4 linked regions of the Anolis sagrei genome follow. The protein of the gene in region 2 interacts with the protein of the main gene of each other region in a pairwise test. Links are inferred from orthologs where the notes say so. Each region holds a gene or a part of one and is shown on either strand. Other genes may lie near its edges. The genes, in order: ERH, TASOR2, KLHL40 and NEK6.

Evidence for each region.
Region 1: the proteins of TASOR2 (region 2) and ERH interact in binary tests that used the Homo sapiens proteins (3 or more experiments, as listed by UniProt). The two-hybrid records come from large-scale screens. The link is inferred for Anolis sagrei from reciprocal best matches to the Homo sapiens genes TASOR2 and ERH.
Region 3: the proteins of TASOR2 (region 2) and KLHL40 interact in binary tests that used the Homo sapiens proteins (3 or more experiments, as listed by UniProt). The two-hybrid records come from large-scale screens. The link is inferred for Anolis sagrei from reciprocal best matches to the Homo sapiens genes TASOR2 and KLHL40.
Region 4: the proteins of TASOR2 (region 2) and NEK6 interact in binary tests that used the Homo sapiens proteins (3 or more experiments, as listed by UniProt). The link is inferred for Anolis sagrei from reciprocal best matches to the Homo sapiens genes TASOR2 and NEK6.

The regions. Positions count from the first base shown.
Region 1 is NC_090021.1:283,410,235-283,417,204, forward strand, and holds the start of ERH (enhancer of rudimentary homolog), read right to left. Parts: upstream 3,016-6,970; 5' UTR 2,912-3,015; coding exon 2,909-2,911; intron 129-2,908; coding exon 41-128; intron 1-40. Other genes in the region: SLC39A9 (zinc transporter ZIP9), read left to right, coding at 3,697-3,792. UniProt on the Homo sapiens protein: May have a role in the cell cycle.
Region 2 is NC_090025.1:194,106,012-194,113,955, forward strand, and holds the start of TASOR2 (protein TASOR 2), read right to left. Parts: upstream 3,072-7,944; 5' UTR 2,332-3,071; intron 1-2,331.
Region 3 is NC_090026.1:127,205,010-127,212,866, forward strand, and holds the start of KLHL40 (kelch-like protein 40), read right to left. Parts: upstream 3,082-7,857; 5' UTR 3,069-3,081; coding exon 1,701-3,068; intron 112-1,700; coding exon 1-111. UniProt on the Homo sapiens protein: Substrate-specific adapter of a BCR (BTB-CUL3-RBX1) E3 ubiquitin ligase complex that acts as a key regulator of skeletal muscle development.
Region 4 is NC_090031.1:625,931-633,453, forward strand, and holds the start of NEK6 (serine/threonine-protein kinase Nek6), read right to left. Parts: upstream 3,045-7,523; 5' UTR 2,920-3,044; intron 2,648-2,919; exon of another isoform or gene 2,626-2,647; intron 1-2,625. UniProt on the Homo sapiens protein: Protein kinase which plays an important role in mitotic cell cycle progression. Required for chromosome segregation at metaphase-anaphase transition, robust mitotic spindle formation and cytokinesis.

The sequences.
Region 1 (6,970 bases), on a different chromosome or scaffold from region 2:
CATTGATTTAGCATCAAGTAATCTACAGCAGGAATATTACCTTCCATGCACTCATTCACAGATTCATAATCAGCGTAAGTTCTGCCTTCTGGTCGTTTGGTAGGCTGAACAAGCAAAATTGTGTGAGACTGTACAAAAGCAAACACAACATTTATTTAGACTTCTGAATGTACCAGAATAAAGCATGTTATTTACATCAAATGCTGAAGTGTACTAATCATACAAAAATAATGCAAACACTGAAGAACAATGGCTATTTCCCCCGCCCTGTCCTATTTTAATTTTCTACGTAAAATAGGTTTGTTTTTAAGGATGTATTGCACAATGGGAAAATTTCATGATAGAGAATAGAATTTAACTGAATGTATGTTATGGCCACATGCAGAAAATAAGATGCAATTTCACACTAATTTCAGTACCACCAACAACAAAGCTTTATATATATATATGCATGATTCTAATGTGAACCCCCCTTTTAGAGGTATTTAAAAGAGAGAAAAGTGCATCTTAGAATGAAAGAAATGTGATATATATTTAAAAATGAAGATTTGGAAAAATACTCTTGACAACTAGAATGTTAAGCAGACAAGCTATTTATTGAAGTGCCAACTGCTAGCAGCTTGCCAAATGAAATTATTTTTAAATATTAGGATGATTGCAAGCTTTCTACGTGGGAACATGGGACTGCTTTGGTCATTCATTGAAAGTTTCTGATCAGTACAGCATGCCAGTTAGTAAGTAGTAGACTATGTGGAACAGCTATGTTCACAAAGTAAAAGGTCAAAAAATGAGGCTTACTCTCAGTTAATTGCACATATAACAGTAGCCCAACTACACATCTATTATGGGTACACAGGTGAAATCCTGATATATATAATATATTTGGTTCAATACATTGCTTTTAAATTATGGATATACCTATTACTAATTTTAACAAGTTCTGTCTCTAAGGAAAATAATCAAGCATATATTTTACTAGAAGAAATACACTGAATAAAAAAATAATAATTTGTGAGTGGGTTCTTTTTCAGAGTCCAGCAAAAAGACCTCTTAAAGAAATCTTTCTCATTTGGAGTGTGTGAAATGCTTTTTAAGATAAATTTTTACAAAATATACAATTTACTAGCATGGTTTTACATAAGAGAACCTACAGCTTTAGACTACAATAGCATGGCCCATTATGTTTGGTCTCAGGATGCCTGTAGACAACAAAATCCATGGATGCTCCCAAGTTTCATTCATACACAATTCGAATTTATTTATTTAGAACATTTATATTCCGTCCTATTCTCGACCTCCGAGGAGGGACTCAGAGCGGCTACCAGCAGGCAACAATTCGATGTTAATACAATATAAAAACAGCAATAAAATACACAATTGCATTAAATGATTTTAAATATACATTAAAAACAGTTTACCGGGTTTAAAACATCCTCCACATCAGTCCAAATTACGGTCCATAAAATCTCAACTTCACCATCTATTCTATTTGCAGACGACACCAATTTGGGAAGGATAGCCAATACTCCAGAAGACAGGAGCAGAATTCAAAATGATCTTAACAGATTAGAGAGATGGGCCAAACTAACAAAATGAAGTTCAACAGTGACAAATGCAAGATACTCCACTTAGGCAGAAAAAAGGAAATGTAAAGATACAGAATGGGGGACGCATGGCTTGGGAGCAGTACGTGTGAAAAAGGTCTTGGGGTCCTCGTGGACAAGAAGTTAAACATGAGTCAACAATGTGATGCACCGGCAAAGAAAGCCAATGGGATTTTGGCCTGCATCAATAGGAGTATAGTGTCTAGATCTAGGGAAGTAATGCTGCCCCTCTATTCTGCCTTTGTTAGATCACATCTGGAATATTGTGTCCAATTACACCGCCGTGAGTCGCTCCAGGGCTGAGAACGGCGGTCTACAAGTGCAGTAAATAAATAAATAAATAATTCTGGGCACCACAATTGACATGTTGGAATGTGTCCAGAGGAGGGTGACTAAAGTGATCAAGGGTCTGGAGAACAAGCCCTATGAGGGGTGGCTTAAAGAGCTGGGCATGTTTAGCCTGAAGAAGAGAAGGCTGAGAGGAGACATGATAGCCATACATAAATACGTGAGAGGAAATCATAAGGAGGCTTGTTTTCAGCTGCCCTGGAGACTAGGATGCGGAGCAATGGCTTCAAACTACAAGAAAGGAGATTCCATCTGAACATTAGGAAGAACTTCCTGACTGTGAGAGCCGTTCAGCAGTGGAACTCTCTGCCCCGGAGTGTGATGGAAGCTCCTCCTTTGGAAGCTTTTAAACAGAGGCTAGATGGCCATCTGTCAGGGGTGCTTTGAACGCAATTTTCCTGCTTCTTGGCAGGGGGTTGGACTGGATGGCCCATGAGGTCTCTTCCAACTGTTTGATTCTATTCTACGAATTGTGTCCCTTAAGCGGCTGAGGGGGAAAAGGAAGGGGCCTGAGGCTGTTAGGAATGATGGGAGTTGGAGTCCAAAACACGTGGAGGGCCAGAGTTTGCCCTTGCCTGCTCTACACGGTCCTTAGCGTCCTCTACCAAACGGTGCTGGCACCTCACGAAACTGCTACCTCTCAGGATTCCATAGCATGGCGCCATGGAAGTCAAAGTGGCGTGAAACTGAATTAATTCTCCAGTGTGGATGCACTCTGTCTCGCTAAGGTCGACTTAGGGAAGTCTTGGGAGGGCGAGGAGGGAGGGCTTCGCTGTTTCTCAGAGGCCACGCATAATAGGCTTTGTAGAGACCGACCCTCGCCCCTCGCCATTGCCTCCTCGCCTTTAGGCCCGAAGCCTTCTCAAGTGAACTGCGAGGCACCAAGCGAAAAGCCTCCGCCTCCTTCAGTCAATTCCGAGTCTCTTCGCCGCTCAAAACCCCCTCTCTGAACTCACCATGGCGATTCTTTTCTGTTCGGCTCGGGCGCGAAGCAAACTCCTAACGACTTCTCAACCACAATGCTCCGCGGCCGCCGGAAACTGACTGTAGACTCCAAATCCCGCACGAGAACCATAGAGGTGCCACCGTTTTCTGAGGAGAGCCGCAGGAGGTAGAGCGTCAACAGCGCCAGCCTCGCGAGATCTCACTTCTGCGTTGACTTTTCCTCGCGCGGGAGACGAAAGCGGCCATCTTTGGTCAGGGCGCCGGAGTAGTGTAGTCGAGGCCCGCCTTAGGAATGGCTAGCGGTGGGCGGGGCGGCGTTGACCTTCGTTCGCTTCGCCGCCATCTTAAAATTGGGCGGGAAAGAAAGGAGCGAATCCAGCGAGGCCTGCTCGCTCGTACGCCTCTCTTTCACTGCCAAGTGTTCCGGAAGTTAAGGAAGGGAAGAGGAAGTGAGGGAGAAGCTGCCACTTGGCCCTTGATGGCCGCTTCTGAGGCGGAGGAGGAGGACTCCACTCGCAGTGGCGGCGGTGGGACAGTGAGGGGCAGGTGGTGAGGGCCCGGGGCCTGAACCTGAGGCACTTCCTCCCTTCTCCTCCTCAGGAAGGTTGTGTGAGGGCCTTGGCGAGCTTCCTCTTCTCGCCCGTGCCTCTTCTCGCCCGCCCTCCGTTAGAGAAGGGCCCCCAGCCTCGAAGCAGAGTGCTGCCCGCTTTCCTGCCGCCCACCCCGGGTGTTTCGGGCCCATGAGGCCTCTTCCCTTTCTGGAATTCCCTGGGAAACTGTAACGTAAGAGGAGCCGGCCATGGACGACTTCTTGTCGATCAGCCTGCTGTCTCTAGCGATGCTGGTGGGCTGCTATGTGGCAGGCATCATCCCGCTAGCCGTAAACTTTTCCGAGGTAAGCAGGCCTTCTCTCACTGCTCTGTTCTCCCTTTTCACATCAGAGTGTTAAGAAAGGAGTGCTTCTTCACCAGGCATGGGCAAACTTGGGCTCTCCAGATGTTTTGGACTTCAATTCCTAACAGTCTCAGGCCCTTTCTTTTTCCTCTTCAGCTGCTTCAGCGTTTTAGGCATAATGAGGGCTGTACTGATGCTTTTGCCAAAAACTGGGACATGTACAGAATTAGAAAGATCTCTGTTAAATTCCTATTTATTTATTTGGAGTGCTTCTACTCCGCCCTTCTCAACCCCCTAGGGGGGACTCAGGGCGGCTTAGAAAAGGCACAATTCGATGCCCAACAATTCACAAAGTACAATTTACAATTTAACATCAACAGTTATTACTAGTTAAAACGATCAAATCAATCAATCCCACCTGAACAATCTGGAGGGTCTCATGAACCTGCTTGGGGGGGGGGGGTAGTGCTATAGATCTAACTGGGAGACAAGTCACTACCAAATGTGACACTGATCCCACTCTGGATGACAGCACTAGGAGAATATGATGCACTAATTGGACCCATAAAAGATACTTCACCCCTAAACCTTAAATACAAATGGTGGAGGGCCAGGCTATTCAGCCAAGCTCCCATTTGAACCAGTTATGGCTTGACACTCAGAAAACTGACCTTACTATTACTTTACTGGAATACCTTCTGCAGCTACATTTACCTTTATTGTGCTAAAAACCTATTATGTGCAATTCAGACAATTTGCTGGCTTTAATATCCCATCCTGTGGCTAATGTATGTGTTGGTAGGTTATGATCACCCCTCAGCCTTTGTTTAAGATCAAGTGTACCTTAAGCAGCTGAGGGGGAAAAGGAAAAGTACTGGGGCTGTTAGGAATTGTGGGAGTTGAAGTCCAAAACATCTGGAGGGGCCAAGTTTGTCCATACCTGTTCTATGCTGTCGAATCAGCGCACTTTGATACTATGTTCAGCTTGGAGAAGATGACTGAAATGATCTGAGACAAAGCTCTTTGAGAAGCAGGTGAGGGAACTAGGGATGTTTATCTGGAGAGAGGAAGGCTGAGAGGGGACATGACAACCATGTTTCATAAGTGAAAGGATGTCACATTGAGGAAATGGCAAACGTGTTTTCTGCTGCTCTGGAGACTAGGGGCCCTTCCACACAGTCATATAACCCACAATATCAAGGCAGAAAATCCCACAATATCTTCTTTGACCTGGGTTATCTGAGCCCACATTGACATATATTACAATTCAAAGCAGATAATGTGATATTTTATTCAGTGGTTTGGTTGTATGCTGCAGCCACAGACCACCAACTACAATGCAACCTGAGCCCTGCCGTATGCACAGCAAAGGACCTTCCCATAGCAACACCAGAGGCACTCCAAATGAACAGCTCCTGTTCAAAGGACATTTAGAATAATGCCAAGTTTTTAAACTTCCTTTGTGGTTTTAAATACATTATAATTATGTCTTCAGTTACCTTCTGACGTGATAAATAACGTGGTTAACAGTGAAGGTATTGTTTTATATGTTTTAATGTATCATATAATTCTATTTTAAAGGTTTATTTTATTTGTACATTGCCTTTGAAGGCATTGAATAGTTGCCTAAGTGAAAGCCGCCTTGAGTCCCCTCCGGGGTGGAGAAAGGCAAGATAGAAATAAATAAATGAAAATTCAGCTCTGAGGCCTAGGAGAAACAATGGATTCAAGTTATAGGAAAAAAGATTCCATGTGAACATTCAGAAGAACTTCCTGACAGTAAGCGCTGTTCAACAGGAATATGAACAGCTCTTTATGTGCCTCAGGCCCCTGCTACACTGCCATATCATCCAGATTATCAAAGTAAATAATCCACATTATCTGTTTTGAACTGTATTCTATGAGTCTGTAGTGCCATATACTCCAGTTCAAAGCGGATAATCTGGATTTTAGATGTAGAAGTGGCCTCAGAATGTGATGGAATCTCCAACTCTGGAGGTTTCTAAGCAGATCTTGGGTGGCTGTCCATAGGGACAGCTTTGATTGTGTATTCCTGCATGTCAAGGAGTTGGATTGCATGGCTCTTGTGGACTTCTAGCTCTATGATTCTGTGAACTGCCATGCTATGGAATCCTGGGAAATGTAGTTCCGCAAGGCAAAGACCTTGAGATACTAGAACTCCCAGGACTCAATAGCATCGAACCATGACAGTTAAAGTGAAGTCGAATTGCATTAATTCTGCAGTCTAGATGCATCCCTAGTGGATAAAGTTTCAGTGGATGGGAAATACACTCTTGTAAAAAGGAGTAGGAGTAGGCTTCTTAAAAGGAGTAAGGAAACAAGTAGGAGATCTTAAGGATAAGGAATTGAACAGATGCTCTGAAAGTCTACCAGGAGAGAGAAAACTGCACATTCCAGTTAGCTCTGATCTATATTGCATAATTCTGATTGGGTTCAATTATTTGAGGCGTAAGATGTGACAAAAGCTCTGGTTCCTTAAAAAGAAAATCTTGAGTGATGTGGGATTACCTAGGATTACTTCTGTATGGCAGTAAGCACTTTCTGAGTAAAATCTTTTCAAAACAGATAGCAAAGCATACACCACAATGGTGTTAACCCTTCCCTATGCTATCATAAGCTAATATAGATGTATTTTTGGCAGGTGTTATATTTAAAAATGCACCTGTTCCAACTTACAAATTCAACTTAAGAACAAGCCTACATAACCTATCTTGTTTGTAACTTGGAGACTGCCTGTATATACTTCAGTCTATATATATGTACTCTGAAATGGGTCTCATTGAGGTCAGTGAAGCTTCTAGGGAAATATGGGATTGTAGCAGAATGAGAACACTCAAGGGAGCACTGTAGATTATTATAATATATATACTAATGGGTAAAAAGTAACATGCAATGTGGAAATTATGCTGATTATAGCAGTGTGCGAAGTTTTCTCTCTCTCACTCTGATATCCATAATGTCTACCACCAGGCCTGCATAAATCATAGATCACAAACTTCCCAGCATTCTTGATGTATCTATGAGCTACAGAGGCAGTTACTTACTTGCTTGGATGACCTTATTTTTTCTGACTGGCTAAATAAAAAGCTGGTTCTATATCTCTGGTTTTTCCAAAAGAAATACAGTTAATCTTGTTTTCTAAAACATACAGGGCAGAT
Region 2 (7,944 bases):
TTTCTTTTTCCTTCCTCTTTCCAACTTTCTCTTCTTCCTTCTAAGTTTCCTCTCCTTCTTTCCTTCCAACTCTCACCTTTCTTTCTTTCTTTCTTTCTTTCTTTCTAGTTTCTCTTCCTTCCAGGTGTTTCTCATTTCCTTCTTTAGTTTCCTTCCCTCCCTCCCTCCTTCCCCTCCTGTTTCATTTCTTTCAACTTTCTCTCCTTCCTTCCTTCTCTCCTTCCTTCTTTCTTTACAGCTTCTCTCCTTCTCTTCCTAGTTTTTCTTTTTCCTTCCTTTTTCCAACTTTCTCTTCTTCCCTCTAAGTTTCCTCTCCTTCTTTCTTTTCTAGTTTCCTTTCTTTCCTTCCAATTTTGTCTTTCCAAGTTTCCCTCCTTTCCTTCCTAGTTTCTCTCCTTCTTTTCTTGCTTCTCCTTTCTTCTAACCTTCCTTCTTTCAAGTTTCCTCCCTCCATCTCTTTCCTTACTTTCTTAGTTCTCCCCCTCATTCTTGCCAGTTTATCTCCTTCTTTTCTTCTTGGTTTTTCTCTTCTTCCTTCCTTCCACTTCTTTTTCCTTCCTTACAGCTTTCTGTCTTTCTAAGTTTCCTTCTTTCTTTCTTGTCTAGTTTATCTCCTTCCTTCTTTCCTGGTTTCTCTCCTTCCTTCCTTCTCCTTCATTTCTCATGTTTCTTCCTAGTTTGTCTCCTTCCTTTATAACTACTTTCCTTATTTCTCTCCTTCAGTCTCCTTCCTTTCTAGTCTCTCTTCCTCCCTTTCCCTCCTTTGTTTCTTCTTCCTTCCTTCCTATTTTGTCTCCTTCCTCCCAAGTTTTCTTCCTCCCTTTTCCTCTTTCCTTCCACCCTCCCTTTCCCTCTTTCCTCCCTCCATTGTTTCTCCCTTCATTCTCCTTCCTTTCTCATGTTTTTCCTAGTTTGTCTCCTTTCTTCCTTATTTCTCTCCTTTTCTAGTTGCTCGCCTTCCTTCCTTGTTTCTCCTTCCTCCCTTTCCCTCCTTTGTTTCTTCTTCCTTCCTTCCTCGTTTGTCTCCTTCCTCCCAAGTTTCCTTCCTCCTTTTCCCTCCTCCCTCCCTTTCCCTTTTTCCTTCCTTTCTTCTCTTTCCTTCTTTCTTTCCCTCCTCATGTTTCTTCCTAGTTCGTCTCCTCCCTTGTTTCTTCCTACCTAGCTACCTTCCTTATTTCTCTCCTTCCTTCCATTTTCTCCTTTGTTTCTTCTTTCTTCCCTTTCCTTCCTAGTTTGTCTCCTTACTTCCAAGTTTCCTTCCTTCCTTCTTTCCTTTCTCATATTTCTTCCTAGTTTGTCTCCTTCCTTCCTTTCCTTCCTTCCTCTCCCTCTTTCCTTCCTCCCTTCCTAGGTTGTCTCTTTCCTTCCTCCCTCCCTTTCCTGTTTCCCCTTCCGTTCCTTCCTTGTTTCTCTCTTCCTTCCTCTCCCTCTTTCCTTCCTAGGTTGTCTCTTTCCTTCCTCCCTTTCCTGTTTCCCCTTCCTTTCCTTCCTTGTTTCTCCCTTCCTTCCTTCCTCTCCCTCTTTCCTTCCTCCCTTCCTAGGTTGTCTCTTTCCTTCCTTCCTTTCCTGTTTCCCCTTCCTTTCCTTCCTTGTTCCTTCCTTCCTTCCTCTCCCTCTTTCCTTCCTCCCTTCCTAGGTTGTCTCTTTCCTTCCTCCCTCCCTTTCCTGTTTCCCCTTCCTTTCCTTCCTTGTTTCTCCCTTCCTTCCTCTCCCTTCCTAGGTTGTCTCTTTCCTTCCTTCCTTTCCTGTTTCCTCTTCCTTTCCTTCCTTGTTTCTCCCTTCCTTCCTCTCCCTCTTTCCTTCCTCCCTTCCTAGGTTGTCTCTTTCCTTCCTCTTTTTCCCTCCTTCCTTTCTTTCCTCCCTTCCTTGTTTCTCCCTTCTTTGCTTCCTTTCTTCCTTTCCTCTTTGTTTCTCCCTCCTTCCCTTCCTTCCTTCCTAGTTTGTCTCCAAGTTTCCTCCCTCCCTTTTCGCTCTTTCCTTCCTTCCTTCCTTCCTTCCCTCATCCTGCTTCCCTTTCCCCTTCCCTTTCCTTCCTCCTTGGGCCTGACTTCCGAGGAGACCCAGGCAGGGCCTGGCGAGGGAAACCAGAGACCGAAACCAAACTTCGGCCCTGGAGCCCAGCCTGGTCCAAGGAGAGAAGGGGGAAAAAGAACCGAAACTGGGCTGGAACCAAGCCACTCGGGTGGCATCCTGTGCCCACTGGGACCTTGCAAAACTACAACTCTCACCTCACTGAGCCATGACACTCCCAAGTGGGGTCAGTGTAAATGCACCCAGGAGTCCACCCGACCTCCCTGACACGTGTCCTCCCGTCCACACGTTCCCACTCACCATCAACACGTGTCCAGGTCCTCAAGCCTTGGAGCCTTCCCATGGCCCAGGGGGGAAAAAACTGGGTCTCCCTTTGGATCCAATTAGGAAACCCGATTCTTGCAAGTGAGTGATTCACTTCGTTTTGGGTTCACACGAGACGGATCCGGTGGAAATTCTGTCTCAGTTATTGACAGATAGATAGATAGACCCGAGTTTTGCTTTTAAAAAATGCACCCAGTTGCAAAAAAAAAGAGGAAATTGCAAAGGATGCAAAAAAGGGGAGCAGGAGATATATAAATATATGGAATTCCTAAAAAATCCTAGTCATAAAACATAGATTTAAACCAAAATCGAGGTCTCACCCAAGTCTCCCCATAGCTTGCAATGTCGCAAAGGGAAGACAAGCAAAAAACCCTCCAAAAATTGCAAATAATTCTTTGCAAAAATCTCTCTCTTGCAAGGACTGCAACTCAACCTGGGATGCAACCTGGGACCCTGGAGAAATGCGCCAAGGCCAGGCTAGGAAACATGTCTGCTGCTCCAGTCTTCTTTGCAAAGGGGGGGAAGGGAAGGGAGGGGGAGGGAAGCCTCTTTTGCCCTGGAAGTGAAAACAAAGCGAAGGCAAGAGAGGCAGAGAGAAAGTGAAAACTGACCCGGAAGGAGTCCCCGCCTTGGCTGGGCCAGGCGTCTGGCATTTCCTGCAGAAAGGGAACTGATGCAATGCACATTTGGGTGCACTCTTAGGAAGGGAGGGAGGGAGGAAAAGGAAAAAAGGAAGGAGGAAGGAAGGGCTTTGCAAGAAAGGTGGAAAGAAAGAGGGAGGGAGGGACTAAACTGGGAAAAGGAAAAAGGGAAGGAAGGAAGGACTTGCAAGGAAGGAAGGAAGGAAGAGGGAGGGAGGGACTAAACTGGGTTTGCAAAACAGAAAGGAAGAGGGAGGGACTAAACTGCATTTGCAAAAATGATAGATAAAGGGATGGAAGGAGGGAGAGAGGGATAGGGATTGGTTTGAAAAGACAGGAAAGGAAAGAAAGAGGGAAGGACTGAACTGGCTAAGGGAGGAAGACAGACTAAACTGATGATGGAAGGAGGGAGGGAGACACTAAACTGCTTTTGCAAAGGAAGGAAGGAAGGAGACATGAGACTGCCTTTGCAAAGGAAGGAAGAGGGAGGGACTAAACTGGCTTTGCAAAAAAGAAAGGAAGAGGGAGGGACTAAACTGCATTTGCAAAAATGATAGATAAAGGGATGGAAGGAGGGAGAGAGGGATAGGGATTGGTTTGAAAAGACAGGAAAGGAAAGAAAGAGGGAAGGACTGAACTGGCTAAGGGAGGAAGACAGACTAAACTGATGATGGAAGGAGGGAGGGAGACACTAAACTGCTTTTGCAAAGGAAGGAAGGAAGGAGACATGAGACTGCCTTTGCAAAGGAAGGAAGAGGGAGGGACTAAACTGGCTTTGCAAAAAAGAAAGGAAGAGGGAGGGACTAAACTGCATTTGCAAAAATGATAGATAAAGGGATGGAAGGGGGGAGGCATAGGGACACTAAACTAGCTTTGCAAAGATAGGAAAAGAAAGAAAGGGGTCTAAACTGGCTAAGGGAGGAAGACAGACTAAACTGATGATGGAAGGAGGGATGGAGACACTAAACTGCTTTTGCAAAGAAAGAAGGAAAGAAAGGAGACATGAAACTGCTTTTGCAAAGGAAGGAAGAAAAGAGGGATGGAGACATGAAATTGCCTTTGCAGAGAAATAAAGTAAAGAAGGAAGGAAGGAAGGGCTTTGCAAGGAAGGAAGGAAGAGGGAGGGAGGGACTAAACTGGCTTTGCAAAAAAGAAAGGAAGAGGGAGGTACTAAACTGCATTTGCAAATATGATAGATAAATGGAGGGAGGGAGGGATAGGGACTAGCTTTGCAAAGACAGGAATGGAAAGAAAGAGGGAAGGACTAAACTGGCTAAGGGAGGAAGACAGACTAAACTGATGATGGAAGGAGGGATGGCGACACTAAACTGCTTTTGCAAAGGAAGGATGGGGACATGAAACTGCCTTTGCAGAGAAAGAAAGGGATGGAGACATGAAACTGCCTTTGCTGAGGAAGGAAGGAAGAAAAGAGGGATGGGGACATGAAACTGCCTTTGCGAAGGAAGGAAGACGGGTGGAGTCATGAAACTGCCTTTGTAGAGAAAGGAAGGAAGAAAAGAGGGATGGGGACATGAAACTGCCTTTGCAGAGGAAAGAAGGAAAGAAGGAAGGAAGAAAAGAGAGATGGGGACATGAAACTGCCTTTGCAGAGGAAAGAAGGAAGGAAGGAAGGAAGAAAAGAGAGATGGGGACATGAAACTGCCTTTGCAGAGGAAAGAAGGAAGGAAGGAAGAAAAGAGGGATGGGGACATGAAACTGCCTTTGCAGAGGAAAGAAGGAAGGAAGGAAGAAAAGAGAGATGGGGACATGAAACTGCCTTTGCAGAGGAAAGAAGGAAGGAAGAAAAGAGGGATGGGGACATGAAACTGCCTTTGCAGAGGAAGGAAGGAAGAAAAGAGAGATGGGGACATGAAACTGCCTTTGCGAAGAAAGGAAGGAAGAGGGATGGGGACATGAAACTGCCTTTGCGAAGGAAGGAAGGAAGGAAGGAAGGAAGAGGGGTGGAGACATGAAACTGCCTTTGCGAAGGAAAGAAGAAAAGAGGGATGGGGACATGAAACTGCCTTTGCGAAGGAAGGAAGGAAGGAAGAAAAGAGGGATGGGGACATGGAACTGCCTTTGCAAAGGAAGGAAGAAAAGAGGGATGGGGACATGAAACTGACTTTGCAGAGGAAAGAAGGAAGGAAGGAAGGAAGGAAGAAAAGAGAGATGGGGACATGAAACTGCCTTTGCAGAGGAAAGAAGGAAGGAAGAAAAGAGAGATGGGGACATGAAACTGCCTTTGCAGAGGAAAGAAGGAAGGAAGGAAGGAAGGAAGGAAGAAAAGAGGGATGGGGACATGAAACTGCCTTTGCAGAGGAAAGAAGGAAGGAAGGAAGAAAAGAGGGATGGGGACATGGAACTGCCTTTGCAAAGGAAGGAAGAAAAGAGGGATGGGGACATGGAACTGCCTTTGCGAAGGAAGGATGGAAGGAAGGAAGGAAGAAAAGAGGGATGGGGACATGAAACTGCCTTTGCGAAGGAAGGAAGGAAGGAAGGAAGAAAAGAGGGGTGGGGACATGGAACTGCCTTTGTGAAGGAAGGAAGGAAGAAAAGAGGGATGGGGACATGGAACTGCCTTTGCAAAGGAAGGAAGGAAGAGGGGTGGAGACATGAAACTGCCTTTGCAGAGGAAGGAAGGAAGGAAGGAAGGAAGGAAGGAAGGAAGGAAGGAAGGAAGGAGGGATGGGGACATGAAACTGCCTTTGCAAAGGAAGGAAGGAAGGAAGAGGGGTGGAGACATGAAACTGCCTTTATAATTCATCCATCCAACTGCCATAGGATGGATGGATGGATGGACAGATAGAAAGAGAGAGAAAGAAAGAGAAAGAGGGTTGGAGACACTAAACTGCCTTTGGAAAGGAAGGAAAGAGGGATGGAGACACTAAACTGCCTTTGGAAGGAAAGAAAGAAAGACACTAAACTGCCTTTGGAAAGAGAGAGAGAGAGACACTAAACTGCCTTTGGAAAGGAAGGAAGGAAGGAAGGAAGGAAGGAAGAGGGATGGAGACACTAAACTGCCTTTGGAAAGAAAGAAAGACACTAAACTGCCTTTGGAAAGAGAAAGAAAGAGACACTAAACTGCCTTTGGAAAGAGAAAGAAAGAGACACTAAACTGCCTTTGGAAAGAGAAAGAAAGAGACACTAAACTGCCTTTGGAAAGAGAAAGAAAGAGACACTAAACTGCCTTTGGAAAGAGAAAGAAAGAGACACTAAACTGCCTTTGGAAAGAGAAAGAAAGAGACACTAAACTGCCTTTGGAAAGAGAAAGAAAGAGACACTAAACTGCCTTTGGAAAGAGAAAGAAAGAGACACTAAACTGCCTTTGGAAGGAAGGAAGGAAGGAAGGAAAGAAAAAGGGATGGAGACACTAAACTGCCTTTGGAAAGGAAGGAAGAGGGATGGTGACACTAAACTGCCTTTGGAAAGAAAGAAAGACACTAAACTGCCTTTGGAAAGAAAGAAAGAGAGAGAAAGAGACACTAAACTGCCTTTGGAAGGAAAGAAGGAAGGAAGGAAGAGGGATGGAGACACTAAACTGCCTTTGGAAAGAAAGAAAGACACTAAACTGCCTTTGGAAAGAGAAAGAAAGAGACACTAAACTGCCTTTGGAAGGAAGGAAGGGAAGGAAGGAAGGAAAGAAAAAGGGATGGAGACACTAAACTGCCTTTAGGAAGGAAGGAAGAGGGATGGTGACACTAAACTGCCTTTGGAAAGAAAGAGAGAGAGAGAGAGAGACACTAAACTGCCTTTGGAAAGGAAGGAAGGAAGGAAGAGGGATGGAGATACTAAACTGCCTTTGGAAAGAAAGACACTAAACTGCCTTTGGAAAGAGAGAGAAAGAAAGAGACACTAAACTGCCTTTGGAAGGAAGGAAGAGGGATGGAGACACTAAACTGCCTTTGGAAAGAAAGACACTAAACTGCCTTTGGAAAGAGAGAGAAAGAAAGAGACACTAAACTGCCTTTGGAAGGAAGGAAGAGGGATGGAGACACTAAACTGCCTTTGGAAAGGAAGGAAGGAAGGAAGAGGGATGGAGATACTAAACTGCCTTTGGAAAGAAAGACACTAAACTGCCTTTGGAAAGAGAGAGAAAGAAAGAGACACTAAACTGCCTTTGGAAGGAAGGAAGAGGGATGGAGACACTAAACTGCCTTTGGAAAGAAAGACACTAAACTGCCTTTGGAAAGAGAGAGAAAGAAAGAGACACTAAACTGCCTTTGGAAGGAAGGAAGAGGGATGGAGACACTAAACTGCCTTTGGAAAGGAAGGAAAAGGAAGGAAGAGGGATGGTGACACTAAACTGCCTTTGGAAAGAAAGAAAAAAAGAAAGACACTAAAATGCCTTTGTAAAGAAAGAGAGAGAGAAAGAAAGAGACACTAAACTGCCTTTGGAAGGAAAGAAAGAAAGAGACACTAAACTGCCTTTTCAAAGGAAGGAAGAGGGAGGGACTAAGCAGGCTTTCCAAAAAGAAAAGCTAGATGAAGGGAGGGAGGGAGAGACTAATCTAGCTTTGAAAAGAGAAACAGAAAGCTGGAAGGAGTAAACTTGCTTTGCAAATCGAAAGAAAGAGGGGAGGGGAAGGAAGTCTGTCAATAAAGACCAGTCAAAAACATACGTGTTTTTAGAATGTGGGGATGGAAGCCATGGAGGGAATGTCCATGTTGCAAGAAAGGGATAAACATGCAAGAAGAGCCAGGTTGCATCTCTATCAGGCATGGGCAATACCTTCTGTTAGGAATTGTGGAAGTTGAAGTCCAAAACACCTGGAGGGAGGGCTGAAGTTTGCCCATGCCTGGTCTACACAGTAGAATTAACACAGTTTGACACCCAGCAGAATGTTGCAATGCAATGGTAATTATTATTATTAGTTATACCTCAATTTTTCTCTCTCAAAAAAGGTGACACAAAGTGGCTGACAGTCAAACCAATACAATTTAAAATAGA
Region 3 (7,857 bases), on a different chromosome or scaffold from region 2:
CTCCTTTCCTCCCACCACAAATATTGAGTTTTCTGCTTCGCCGAGGCCGAAGAGACAACGCGGAGATGGAAGAGGCGGCATCCCAAGCCAGTCTGAATCCAGGTGGTCATACTGCAAAGAAGTAGAAGGCAACCATGGAGATAACAGGTGAACCATCTTGAGATATCACTTAGGACCCTTTGACACAGCCATATAACCCAGAATATCAAGAATATCCACAATATCTGCTTTGATCTGGATTATCTGTGTCCGCATTGCCATATAATCCAATTCAAAGCAGATAATGTGGGATTTTATACAGTTGTGTGGAAGGGGCCATAGTGTTATTTAAAGACTCACATAACTAGTAAATGTTTTGCTGAGATATATAATGCAAGGAGATCAGATGAAGCAACTCCAAGAGTTGGTCATCAGAGTTCTACTTAAAAACCACTAATCAAGGGGAGTCCATTACCCGCTGGGATAGTCTATCCCATGCTCGCCAAAATACAGATCGGATAATCCTGGTTTTAAATGTTATGGGGTTCCTGGAAATATGGAACCCCATAACCCCAAGGGTGCTTTGAAAGTAATCTAATTCTCAATGTAGAGCACATCCATAGCATGTCAAGTGCATGGCTACCCAGACTCTGCTTCAATACCTCCAGCAAAAGAGTGGAAATCATCAATCACTTTTCAAATGACTACTTGGTCAGATTAAGCCACAGCCCACTAGCATTTATGACTGGTCGGACCCATTTGATTTTTATGTCTCTTGAAACCAGAGTATCTCTCTAAACACCAAATGCTGGGATCACATCAGTTTCTATTGTCACCTGTCACTCATTGTAATCAGGATGCTGAGCGGGACAATCCTTTTCTCCAATCTGGGAAGGGATTTGTCCCCCTTTTCACACGTAAATCACAGTATCAAACTGGTCCCAGTTTGGGAGGCACAGCCCTGATTGATCCTGTCATCCCATTTTCTCATCTGTTTTTCCAAAATGTCCCAGTGGATCTTTCCTCCTCCCAATTTCTCCTTGCTTTTATCCACTCCAGCAAACTGAGGCCCCTTCCAAACAGATGTATCAAATCCACATTGAACTGGATTATATGCTAGTGTGGACTCAGATAACTCAGTTCAATGCAGATATTGTGGATTATACATATGGCTGTGTGGGAGGGACCTGAATTCAAAGTATGGATGTAGTTTTCAGATGAGAAGGAGAAGAAGGCACCATCTTGCCCTTCCCAGTAGGCTTTGGCAAAAGCAAACTATTGATGCATTCTTCTTCATTATAAAGTTTTCCCAACTTGACTGCATTCTTATATTTCTTGGTTCCCTTCCACACAGCCCTATATCCCAGAATATCAAGGCAGAAAATCCCACAATATCTGCTTTGAACTGGGTTGTCTGAGTCCACACTCAGATAATGTGGGATTTCCTACCTTGATATTCTGGGATATAGGGTTGTGTGGAAAGGCCCTAAGTTGTATGCATTTTGGTTTTCATTTGTGAAATGTTGGAAATTTTGCAGTATATAGATATTTGTCAGAGTAATCTCCGCCCTCCCAATATGATACGTGAAAGAGGGAGTCAAACTAAAGCTATGCCATAAAGATTAAAATCACTTGGGGTTGACTCCCCATTCCAACAAGAGACGAATACAGCTCTTGGTTCAAAAGCAGAAATATGTGCATTGGGAGGAGTTATCCATTACCTGCAAGAAATAGGAGTTCATTGGATCTTCTTTATTGTCCTCATTGTAGTAAAGTCCCCCTGCTATGAAGACCTGGTTCTCGCGGGTGACCAGGCTGACGTGGTTCTTTGGGATCTGGGCAGAAAGTGAGGCGTAAAAGCACTCATTGGCTGACGGGTCATAGGCCACCGCCCCCGAGTCACTGACCATGAAAATGAGATCTTGAAGAAACATCCCAAACCTCATGGTGTCATTCAAGATCCCTGGGAGACCTTCCTCTGCTTCCTCCTCCTCCTTCTCAACACCGTCTTCCTCTACTCCTCCATTGATGACATTGTCCCCAGCCTTCTTCTCCCCTTTTTTCTTCACTCTTTTCACCACTGCAAATTTCCCTTCATGGGCGTCCTTCACCATCTGCAACTTCTTGAGAAGTTCTGGGCTGGACTTGACCAGAGGGTGCTTCTCCACATGATCCTTGAAGTAATCCTTCTCAATGAGGCGAAAACGGATGCTGTCAAAGACCACTGGCAGGGCCTTTGCTCGGCTCTCCCGGTCTTTGGTTGTGGCCCATTTCATCACCACCTCAAAGACGGACTCTTCCTTCTCGATATTCAGGGAATCACTGGAGATGATGGCAATGAGTTCATCGGGGGAGAGCTGGAAGAATTCCTCATCCCGGGAGATCAAGGCAAAGCGGTCACAGATGAAATCCCGGGCAGCGACTGCCAAGCGGGCACAGTCCAACATCAAACCCAGCCTGAAAATGGCCAAGCAGTTGCTGAGGCAAAGCCGCTTCTGAAGGAAAGAGACACAGACGGTGAAAATGGAAGGGATCTGGAACATGTTGGCCACGGAGAAGATATCCTGAACGTTCTGCTCGGTGAGCTCCAGTTCTGAGGTGTAGATGTAATGGAGGATCTTGCCCATGACGTCTGGATCCACATCTTCTAAGCTGATCTCCCTTTTCTTGCTCTCTTCCATATCCGAGAGGAACATGGCCCTGAAGTAAGGACTGCAAGCTGCCAGGACCAAGCGGTGACATGGAAACTCCTTCCCTTTCACCTTCAGGACACAATCCAAGAACTTGTTGTGGTCCAGCAAGTCCTTGAGACCATCTTGAAGAAGCGTTTGCTGGTAGAGACGTAACTCTTCCGCTTGTTCTAAGGAGACGGCCATGGTTGAAAACTTGTCTGGTCTTCTTCGTTGACCCGGTCTTCCAGCTCTTGTGAACCTGGGAGAGCTCTTTCTTGATTCCTGATGGAGCGCTGACCAAGAATATGAGCCTGGCTGCTTGTCCAGCTGGCTGTGTGGCTCAGTTTCCACAGCGCGAGGGGTTTTTATATATATAGCCACGGCGTTACAAAGCTTAGGGAATCCATTCGGGAGCATGTGTAAGCCGATCACCTTTTAATATGACAAACTGGCCCACCAGGGAGGGATGGCTCTTGCGGAAGGGGAGGGGGACGACACAAGGAGCAACAGCTGTAAGTGTAATTCTAGATCTATGACAGACGCTGTCACGATGATTCACTCAGGAGAGGTATATTTCTTTTTCCTGAAGGTCTTTCGCCCCCAGCCCAAGACTTGTGAGCAGCCCCTCTAGGAACAAGTTACGCCTTGGAGTAAATCACAGCAATGAAGGCTCTAAAATCAGTTATGGGATCTGTGTTTGGGTTCATATCCTTCTATCCCTCTCTTCAGCACATGCACACACATTGGAGCGTACCCACAGATGCCACATCCCTGCTCTCGCCTTCTAAATCCAGCGCAAGGCTTAATGTGCTAAAAATATACTGCAAAGTCAGAGTTGAATAAACAGGGAAGAAATGCCTCTGATTATTTGTTGTGGCATGAGGACATCTCTCTCTCTTCCAAGTCGCGGAGGCTATTGATCATAAATTTGATTCATTGCTATATATATATATATATATATATATATATATATATATATATAATCATAGAATCAAAGAGTTGAAAGAGACCTCATGGGCCATCCAGTCCAACCCCCTGCCAAGAAGCAGGAATATTGCATTCAAATCAGCCCTGACAGATGGCCATCCAGCCTCTGTTTAAAAGCTTCCAAAGAAGGAACCCCCACCACACTCTGGCGCAGAGAGTTCCACTGCTGAACGGCTCTCACAGTCAGGAAGTTCTTCCTCATGTTCAGATGGAATCTCCTTTCTTGTAGTTTAAACCATTGTTTCGTGTCCTAGTCTCCAGGGAAGCAGAGAACAAGCTTGCTCCCTCCTCCCTGCGGCTTCCTCTCACATATTTATACATGGCTATCATATCTCCTCTCAGCCTTCTCTTCTTCAGGGTAAACATGCCCAGCTCCTTAAGCCTCTCCTCATAGGGCTTGTTCTCCAGACCCGTGATCATTTGAGTCGCCCTCCTCTGGACACATTCCAGCTTGTCAATATCTCTCTTGAATTGTGGTACCCAGAATTGGACACAATATTCCAGGTGTGGTCTAACCAAAGTGGAATAGAGGGGTAGCATGACTTCCCTGGATCTAGATACTATGCTCCTATTGATGCAGGCCAAAATCCCATTGGCTTTTTTTGCCGCCACATCACATTCCTGGCTCATGTTTAACTTGTTGTCCACGAGGACTCCAAGGTCTTTTTCACACGTACTGCTCTCAAGCCAGGCATCGTCCCCCATTCTGTCTCTTTGCTTTTCGTTTTTCCTGCCAAAGTGGAGTATCTTGCATTTGTCACTGCTGAACTTCATTTGTTAGTTTTGGCCCATCTCTCTAATCTGTCAAGATCGTTTTGAATCCTGCTCCTGTCCTCAGGAGTAAAGATGTTGAACAGGACCAGGACCAGGACGGAACCCTGCGGCATTCCGCTCGTCACTTCTTTCCAGGATGAAGAGGAAGCATTGGAGAGAATCACCCTCTGGGTTCGTCCATTTAACCAATTCCAGATCCACCTCACCATAGTTTTGCCTAGCCCACATTGGACTAGTTTGTTTGCCAGAAGGTCATGGGGGACCTTGTCGAAGGCCTTCCTGAAATCCAGGTACGCTACATATATATATATGGTTCTGTGCACATGGCTGTTCCAAGTATCTGGATGTTTCAGAGGAGAGGTTATATCCGATGCCACCTCAGGTACAGCAGAGTAAAGATGCCATGTAAAATAAACTTTTTACAGTCAAACCTTCACTTTGGACCTAGAGATTCATAGAGAGGAGTTCTTAAAGAGCTGGGCATGTTTAGCCCGCAGAAGAGAAGGCTGAGAGGAGACATGATAGCCATGTATCAATATGTGAGGGGAAGTCATAATAAGGAGGGTGCAAGCTTGTTTTCTGCTGCCCTGGATGCAATGGAGCAATGGCTTCAAACTACAGGAAAGGAGATTCCACCTGAACACGAGGAAGAACTTCCTGACTGTGAGAGCTGTTCAGCAGTGGAACTCTCTGTGCCGAAGTGTGGTGGAGGCTCCTTCTATGGAGGCTTTTAAACAGGGGCTGGATGGCCATCTGTTGGGGATGCTTTGAAAGTGATTGTCCTGCTTCTTGGTAGGGGGTTGGACTGGATGGCTCACGAGGTCTCTTCCAACCCTAGGATTCTATGATTCTCACTAGCACTGCCTGAACATCAAGCAAAAAGTGGGTGCTAGAAACAATATCATACGAAAGCTGACTGGCACAACTTGTGGATCACAACCAGACACAGTAAAGACATCTGCCCTTGCGCTATGCTCCTCTGCTGCTGAGTATGCATGCCCAGTGTGGAACACATCTCACCACGCTAAAACAGTGTATGTGGCTCTTAATGAGACATGCCGCATTATCACGGGGTTTCTGCGCCCTACACCACTGGAGAAACTACACTGCTTAGCCGGTATTGCACCACCTGACATCCACCGGGAAGTAGCAGCCAATAGTGAAAGGACCAAGGCAGAGACATCTCCAGCTCATCCCCTGTTTAGGTATCCGCCAGCACGTCAACGACTTAAATCTAGAAATAGTTTTCTAAGATCTACAGAGACACTCGCTGGAACGCTTCAGCAAGCGAGAGTCCAAAAGTGGCAGGTTCAAACCCAGAACCTGAACCAATGGCTGATACCAGATGAGAGACTCCCTCCTGGGCACACAGAAGACTGGGCGACTTGGAAGGGGCAGAACAGACTGCGCTCTGGCACCATGAGATGCAGAGCCAACCTCAAGAAATGGGGCCACAAAGTGGAATCCACATCATGCGAGTGTGGAGAAGAGCAAACCACTGACCACCTGCTGCAATGCAATCTGAGCCCTGCCACATGCACAATGGAGGACCTTCTTGTGGCAACACCAGAAGCACTCCAAGTGGCGAGATACTGGTCAATGGACATCTAATCAACTACCAAACTTGCAAATTTTGTGTTTTGTCTGTCTGTTTGTTTGTTTTGTTCTGTTAGAAATGTAATACAATTCACTGGTTGCCCTGACACGACAAATAAATACTAGCAATCTCTCGGTACTCCAGCACAACTCTTTAGTAAACATCCAACTGAAGTTGTAGGATGACCTAGAGTTTCTTAGAAAGCCTATATTAATTAAACCAGTGAATGATGAACTCTTCAATAGTTCAACACTTTAACTGCCATATCCCAATGCTATGGAATAGTGGGAGTTGTAGTTTTACTAGGTCTTTTGCCTTCTGTGATAAGGCACTTAGCCATGTTAGTTCAAGTGGGGTCAAACTGCATTAATTCTACTGTGTAGGTGCACTCTCTGTTTGTTGTTGTTGTTGTTGTTCATTCGTTCAGTCGTCTCCGACTCTTTGTGACCTCATGGACCAGCCCACGCCAGAGCTCCCTGTCGGCCGTCACCACCCCCAGCTCCTTCAAGGTCAGTCCAGTCACTTCAAGGATGCCATCCATCCATCTTGCCCTTGGTTGGCCCCTCTTCCTTTTGCCTTCCACTTTCCCCAGCATAATTGTCTTCTCTAGGCTTTGCTGTCTCCTCATGATGTGGCCAAAGTACTTCAACTTTGTCTCTAGTCTCCTTCCCTCCAATGAGCAGCTGGGCTTTATTTCCTGGAGGATGGACTGGTTGGATCTTCTCGCAGTCCAAGGCACTCTCAGCACTTTCCTCCAACATCACAGTTCAAAAGCATCTCTCTTCCTTCGCTCAGCCTTCCCTAAGGTCCAGCTCTCACATCCGTAGGTGACTACAGGGAATACCATGGCTTTGACTAGGCAATGGATCTTTGTTGTCAGTCTGATGTCTCTACTCTTCACTATTTTATCGAGACTGGACATTGCTCTCCTCCCAAGAAGGAAGCGTCTTCTGATTTCCTGGCCACAGTCTGCATCTGCAGTAATCTTTGCCCCTAGAAATACAAAGTCTGTCACGGCCTCCACGGTTTCTCCTTCTATTTCCCAGTTGTCAATCATTCTTGTTGCCATAATCTTGGTTTTTTTGACGTTTAGCTGCAACCCGGCTTTTGCGCTTTCTTCTTTCACCTTGATTAGAAGGCTCCTCAGCTCCTCCTCGCTTTCGGCCATCAGGGTGGTGTCATCTGCATATCTGAGGTTGTTAATGTTTCTTCCAGCAATTTTCACCCCAGCTTTGCATTCATCCAGCCCCGCACATCCTCGCATGATGTGTTCTGCATACAAGTTAAAAAGGTTGGGTGAGAGGATGCAGCCTTGCCGGACACCTTTCCCAATCTTGAACCAGTCTGTTCCTCCGTGGTCAGTTCTGACTGTGGCTCCTTGGTCCTTGTACAGATTCCTCAGGAGAGAGGGAAGGGGGCTTGAGGTGCCCATCCCACCAAGAACTTGCCACAATTTATTATGATCCACACAGTCAAAGGCTTTAGAATAGTCAATGAAGCAGAAGTAGATGTTTTTCTGAAACTCCCTGCCTTTCTCCATTATCCAGCGGATATTGGCAATCTGGCAATTGGGCACTCTCTGTAGTTGCCCAATAATTAATTACCTTCTCCAACCTCATCTGGATGCTTCAGACTACAGCACTTACCATCCACAGGCAGTCATTGTGGATGATGGGTATTGTAGTCCAACACATTGAAATGCCACATTGAGGAAGACTGATTTGGAATATTGCTATTGACAAATTAAACCTAAAGGAAGTCAACCTGGCTCAGATGATGGGTGCATCTACACTGTCGACTTAATGCATTTTGACCCAACATTGACTGCCATGGTTCAGTGCTATGGAA
Region 4 (7,523 bases), on a different chromosome or scaffold from region 2:
CTGGAGGTCAGCTGTGACCAGCAGTGCTGCAGAATTCAAAGAGGAACTAACGGAAGGCGAAAGGGAGAAACGAGAGCGTCTGGTCTTGCAAAGCCCTCTTATAGTGCCGAAGTTTATTAAATATGGTATTCTGTGGGCGAGCAGATGGCGACTACTGGGTGGCATATGTCCTGTAGCAGAAACTTGAGCTGATGTGGTCTACCCAATGCAGTTTTCTGAATCAGCACCCCAAATAACCAAACCTAATCTAAAGTTGACCAAAAACTGATTCGTAAGCTTTTTGGTACTAATGCTGGAGAGTGGTCCCTGTGGAAGAGCAGACTACGGGATGGCATATGTTCTGTATCAGAAACTAGAGCCGATGTGGTCTATCACAGGCAATTTTCAAAACCAGCACCCCAAATAACCAAACCCAATCTTACATTGACCAAAAACCGATTCATAACCCTTTTGGTACTTATGTTGGAGAGTGGTCCCTGGTTTTCTCTGGCCGAGCAGATGGCGACTACTGGATGGCATGTGTTCTGTATTAGAAACTGGAGCTGATGTGGTCTATCCAATGCAATTTTCTGAATCAGCACCCCAAATAACCAAACCAAATCTAAAGTTGACCAAAAACTGATTCGTAACCTTTTTGGTACTAATGTTGGAGAGGGCAGCAGAACACCAACCTGACTCCCTGTTCTTTAGAACATCTTTTCATATACACTGCCATATAACCCAGTTCAAAGCAAAGCATGTGGATTATCTGCTTTGATAATCTTTGTTATATGGCAGCGTGGAAGGGCCCTGAGTCTACGCTGCCGTATAACACAGTTCAAAGCAGATCATGTGCTTTGTTTGCTTTGATATTCTGGGTTATATGGCAGCATAGAAGGGGCAACTAGACAACTAGGCCCATTACACACAGCTATATAAAATCCACAAGATCTGCTTTGAACTGGATTATATGTCCATGTAGACTGAGGGACCTTCTCACAGCCATGTATTCATTTATATGCCCATCCCCCTCCAAACACCCCACCTTGCCATGCTCAGCACTTTTTAATTTGAATTATTACATTTGGCCCGGCCATTGTTTTTAATTGCGTCATTAGATGTTGTTAATGTTATTGCTTTGTTTTTTTGTTTTTTTGAGTTATTGTGTTGTTGTTGCTGCTGCTGTTTTTATTGTTGTATTTGGGCTCGGCCAAGCCACATTATTATTATTATTATTATTATTATTATTTACGGCATTTATATGCCACCCTTCTCACCCCGAAGGGGACTCAGAGTGGCTTACTATATATATATATAGCATAGTACAATATAAGTATTATATATTACTATATTGTACTATACCATTATATTGCTACAATATTAGTAATATTACATGTAATATAAAACCTATAATTATAATATTGTATTATGTAACCCTGAAAATCAAGGCACAATGTCCACAATGCCTGCTTTGAACTGGATTATACATGTGTGTAGACTCAGGGGCCTTCATCATAGGCATCTAACCCTGGAAATCAAGGTAGATCGTCCACAATGCCTGCTTTGAACTGGATTATACATGTGTGTAGACTCGGGGACCTTCATCACAAGCATCTAACTCTGGAAATCAAGGCACAATGTCCACAATGCCTGCTTTGAACTGGGTTATACATGTGTGTAGACTCAGGGCCCTTCATCACAGGCATGTAAACCGGGAAATCAAGGATTGGCGAAAGGGGAAGAGTTACCTGAGTCCAGACTGGCATTTAACCCAGTTTTACATAACTCACCTGGAAATGACACCATGCCAGATTTGATCAGTTCCCATTCTGACGTTGGAGAGATTAACAATGTCATGGATTCAGCCATTGGATATAACGACTGCATCCCTGTGTCAGGTGGCTGTTCCATTGTAACTGTAATGTGGATGGGATACAGCTGTGTGGAGGGGGCCCAAAGGGAGACCCAGGGCGCCCCAAAGGAGTAAACAATCAACATCCATTGGCATTCCTGACTCAGGGCCCTTCAACACAGCCATGCAACCCAGAATCATAGAATCAAAGAGTTGGAAGAGACCTCCTGGGCCCTCATCCAGTCCAACCCCATTCTGCCAAAAAGCAGGAATATTGCATTCAAAGCACCCCTGACAGATGGCCATCCAGCCTCTGCTTAAAAGCTTCCAAAGAAGGAGCTTCCACCACACTCCCTCCGGGGCAGAGAGTTCCACTGCTGAACGGCTCTCACAGCCAGGAAGTTCTTCCTCATGTTCAGATGGAATCTCCTCTCTTGTAGTTTGAAGCCATTGTCCCATTGCGTCCTAGTCTCCAAGGAAGCAGAAAACAAGCTTGCTCCCTCCTCCTCCCTGTGGCTTCCTCTCACACATTTATACATGGCCCTCATCATGTCTCCTCTCAGCCTTCTCTTCTTCAGGCTAAACATGCCCAGTTCCCTAAGCCGCTCCTCATAGGGCTTGTTCTCCAGACCCTGGATCATTTGAGTCTGCCTCCTCCTCTGGACACATTCCAGCTTAGAGTCAAGATCTCTCTTGAATTGTGGTGCCCAGAATTGGACACAATATTCCAGGTAAAGTGGTCTAACCAAAGCAGAATAGAGGGGTAGCAGGAGGCCTGCTTTGAACTGAGTTACCTGAGTCCAGACTGGCGTGTAACCCAGTTCCATGTGGAAGGGATACAGGTGTGTGGAGGGGGCCCAAAGGGAGACCCAAAGAAGTAAACAATCCCCCTCCATTGGCATTCCTGAGGGCGGGGGTGTCCTTGGGGGAGGGAGGGAAGGAGGAAGACCCGCCCCCCTCAGAGGGGGGAATGATTGACAGCGAGGGTTTAAAGGGGAGGGGGGGCTTTGGAGTGAGGGGAACTCAAGGGAGGGAGGGAGTTGAGGTGAAGAAAGAAGCCGAGGCCTAAGAGGCCAGGCCTGCCTTACCTGCCCGGAGAGGCCTGGCTGAGAGAGAGAGAGAGAGGCCCAGGCGCGCTCCCTTCCACTCTCTGTCTCTGAGGGGGAAACTCCAGGCCCAGGCGCGCCCCCGAGGCACGCCCCCGCCGCCGCGCGCCCCCGCCCCCTTCCGGGCAAGAGCCAGCAGCACTCCAAACTCTCTTCTCACAGGGAGCGTGCGCGCTCGCGAGAGAGAGAGAGGAGAAGGCGTGCGTGCGCCGTGCGTGCGCGCTCCCGACCCTCGCTAAGAAGCTTGCCACGCAGGCCGCTCCTTGCTAGCCCCGCCCCCTACTTTCCGCTCCTGTCTCAGAACTCAAGCGTTTCTCTCTCTCTATCGCGCATGCGTGAGAGGAAAAAGACGGCTTCGTCGTGGCCCCGCCCCTTCTCGTTTCCCTCCAAGACTGACACACATTCTCTCTCTCGCATGTGCGCATGCGTCTGAGAAAGAAGGAGTCAGGGAAATGAAGGGAAATGGGGCGTGGTTTCCTTGTGGTCCCGCCCCTTCTCGTTTCCCTCCAAGAGTAACACACATTCTCTCGCGTGTGCGCATGCGTCTGAGAAAGAGGGAGTCTGGATTAGAAAAAGGAAATGAAGGGGAGAAAGGGGGCGTGGTCTCCTTGTGGCCCCGCCCCTTCTCGTTTCCCTCCAAGAGTAACACACATTCTCTCGCGTGTGCGCATGCGTCTGAGAAGGAAGGAGTCAGGGAAATGAAGGGAAAGGGGGCGTGGTTTCTTTGTGGCCCCGCCCCTTCTCGTTTCCCTCTAAAACTGACACTCTCTCGCGTGTGCGCATGCGTCTGAGAAGGAAGGAGTCAGGGAAATGAAGGGACGGGGGCGTGGTTTCTTTGTGGCCCCGCCCCTTCTCGTTTCCCTCTAAAACTGACACTCTCTCGCGTGTGCGCATGCGTCTGAGAAGGAAGGAGTCAGAGAAATGAAGGGAAAGGGGGCGTGGTTTCTTTGTGGCCCCGCCCCTTCTCGTTTCCCTCCAAGATTGATACACACACGCGTGTGCGCATGCGTCTGAGAAGGAAGGCTTCTGGATTAGAAAAGGGAAATGAAGGGGAGAGAGGGGGCGTGGTCTCCTTGTGGCCCCGCCCCTTCTCGTTTTACCTCTATTCGTTCCTGTCAAAAAAGACACTCTCTGGAGCGCGCATGCGCATGGGAAGGAAGGCGTCAGTTTGGTATAATTTTAAGGAGGCGTGGCTTCGCTGGTGGCCCCGCCCCCTTCTTATCCTTTCTCTCCGTTCCCGTCTAAAAGAGAGGCTGACTCGCGCATGCGCGTGAGGATAGGAAGGCGGAGCCGGATTGGAGAAATGAGGGGAGGGTGTGGGGCGTGGCTTCGGGAGTGGGCGTGGCTTATTAATGGGTCTGTTGGAAACTAGGCAAGATGCCCAGAAGGGCAGGAAGCACCCAGGCTTTGAAGCTGCAAGGGCATTCAATGCTAATTTTTTTATTATTATTATTTTATTATTTCACCTTGTCCATTTGGCCTGCCCATCTTGTTCGATTTTATTTTGTGTGAATTTGCTTTATTATTTTACTTTGCTGTTGTAATCTGGTCCATTTAGTTTTCCTGGCAAGGATACTGGGGTGGTTTGCCATTGCCTTCCGCAGGGATCACGCTTGGTCTGACCTCTCTGCCACGACCGTCCCGTCTTGGGTGGCCCTTCACGGTTTCGCTCATGACATCATTGAGGTGCTCAAGCTCCAGCGCCACAACAAGGCGGTGATCCTTATTTCTCATCATGCCAGGAAGGGAATGCTCAAGATCCTGCAAGGAAGACTCCAGCCAGACATGGAGCGAGAGAGTGGCCAGATGTTCAAGCTGGGTTTAGAAAAGGCAGAGGAACCAGAGACCAGAGTGCCAATATCCGGATGCTAGAGAATGGAGGAAGGCAGGGAGTTTCAGAAAAACATCTATTTCTGCTTCATTGACTCTTCTAAAGCCTTGGACTGTGTGAATGATCATCATAAATGGTGGCAAGTTCTTGGTGGGATGGGCATCCCAAGCCCCCTTCCCTCTCTCCTGAGGAATCTGTCCAAGGACCAAGGAGCCGCAGTCAGAACTGACCACGGAACAGGAGACGGGTTCCAGATTGGGAAAGGCGTCCGGCAAGGCTGCATCCTCTCACCCAACCTTTTTAACGTGTATGCAGAACACATCATGCGAGGATGTGCGGGGCTGGATGAATGCAAAGCTGGGGTGAAAATGGCTGGAAGAAACATGAACAACCTCAGATATGCAGATGACACCACTCTGATGGCCGAAAGCGAGGAGGAGCTGAGGAGCCTTCTCATCAAGGGGAAAGAAGAAAGCGCAAAAGCCGGGTTGCAGCTAAACGTCAAAAAAACCAAGATGATGGCAACAAGAATGATTGACAACTGGGAAATAGAGGGAGAAAACGTGGAGGCCGTGACAGGGTTTGTATTTCTAGGCGCAAAGATGAGTGCAGACGCAGACTGTGGCCAGGACATCAGAAGACGCTTCCTTCTTGGGAGGAGAGCAATGTCCAATCTCGATAAAATAGTCAAGAGCAGAGACATCAGACTGGCAACCAAGATCCATTGCCTAGTCAAAGCCATGGTCTTCCCTGTAGTAGTCACCTACGGATGTGAGAGCTGGACCTTAGGGAAGGCTGAGCCAAGGAAGAGAGATGCTTTTGAGCTGTGGTGTTGGAGGAAAGTTCCGAGAGTGCCTTGGACTGCGAGAAGATCCAACCAGTCCATCCTCCAGGAAAGAAAGCCCGGCTGCTCATTGGAGGGAAGGAGACTAGAGGGAAAGCGGAAGTCCTTTGAAGGCCACCTCATGAGGAGACAGGAAAGCCTAGAGAAGACAATTATGCTGGGGAAAGTGGAAGGCAAAAGGAAGAGGGGCCGACCAAGGGCAAGATGGATGGATGGCATCCTTGAAGTGACTGGACTGACCTTGAAGGAGCTGGGGGTGGTGACGGCCAACAGGGAGCTCTGGCGTGGGCTGGTCCACGAGGTCACGAAGAGTCGGAGACGACTGAACGAATGAACAACAACAACAATTGTAATTATCTTCCGATGTAATTTTCTTTCTGTATTCTGTATTTTATTGTGTTGTATTGCATTTTTGGGCTTGGCCTCATGTTAGCTGCCCCGAGTCCCCATTGGGGAGATGATGGCGAGGTATAAATAAAGATTATTATTATTATTATTATTATTATAAAACCCCTGTGCCGGCAGGACTGAAGAGTGACAGGTCGCAGGTTTGAATCCAGGGAGAGGTGGATGAGCTCCCTCTATTAGCTCCAGCTCCTCATGCAAAGGGGACATGAGAGAAGCCTCCCACAAGGATGATAAAAACACCAAATCATCCAGGCAATGTCCCCTGGGCAACATCCTTGCAGACAGTCAATTCTCTCACAACGGGAGCGACTTGCAGTTTCTCAAGTTGCTCCTGACATGACCAAAAAATATTATTATTATTATTATTATTATTATTATTATTATTATTATCAAGGTGACCAGCTGCACCATTCAAACGTGCCTCCAACAGACAAGAGTCCTTTCTCCCACCCTGGACATCATTCCAAAGGTATATAAGTCCAACTTGACCATTTTCTGACAAACCCCTCAACCTCTGAGGATGCCTGCCATAGATGTGGGAGAAACGTCAGGAGAGAATGTTTCCAAAACATGGAAAGGCAGCCCAGAAAACCTACAACTACCCAGTGAAACCTTATGAAGTCAATACGGACTTTAGGAGGGTCTCCCCAGTAAGAGAGACCTCTAGGACCGCACCAAAGAGAGTCCCTTGTACTTGGCAAGCCGTCAGAGAAGCCTAATTCCAGTAATTTTATTGATATTAATAATTGAAATGAGACTCTTGCCAAGGCGAAGAAGAGGCATCGAGGTTTAATGAGCGATTCAGCTGAAGCGGATGCCATTGCAGTGATCATTCACATGCAAGCATACCAGTACATTGATCAGAGGCATTGTTGTTGTTGTTCATTTGTTCAGTCGTCTCCGACTCTTTGTGACCTCATGGACCAGCCCACGCCAGAGCTCCCTGTCGGCCGTCACCACCCCCAGCTCCCTCAAGGTCAGTCCAGTCACTTCAAGGATGCCATCCATCCGTCTTGCCCTTGGTCGGCCCCTCTTCCTTTTGCCTTCCACTTTCCCCAGCATCATTGTCTTCTCTAGGCTTTGCTGTCTCCTCATGATGTGGCATTCAAAGGACTTCCGCTTTGTCTCTAGTATCTTTCCCTCCAGTGAGCAGCCGGGCTTTCTTTCCTGGAGGATGGACTGGTTGGATCTTCTCGCAGTCCAAGGCACTCTCAGGACTTTCCTCCAACACCACAGCTCAAAAGCATCTCTCTTCCTTCGCTCGGCCTTCCCGAAGGTCCAGCTCTCACATCCGTAGGTGACTACTACAGGGAAGACCATGGCTTTGACTAGGCAATGGATCTTGGTTGCCAGTCTGATGTCTCTACTCTTCACTCTTTGATCGAGACTGGACATTGCTCTCCTCCCAAGAAGGAAGCATCTTCTGATTTCCTGGCCACAGTCTGCATCTGCACTCATCTTTGCGCCTAGAAATACAGAGTCTGTCACGGCCTCCACGGTTTC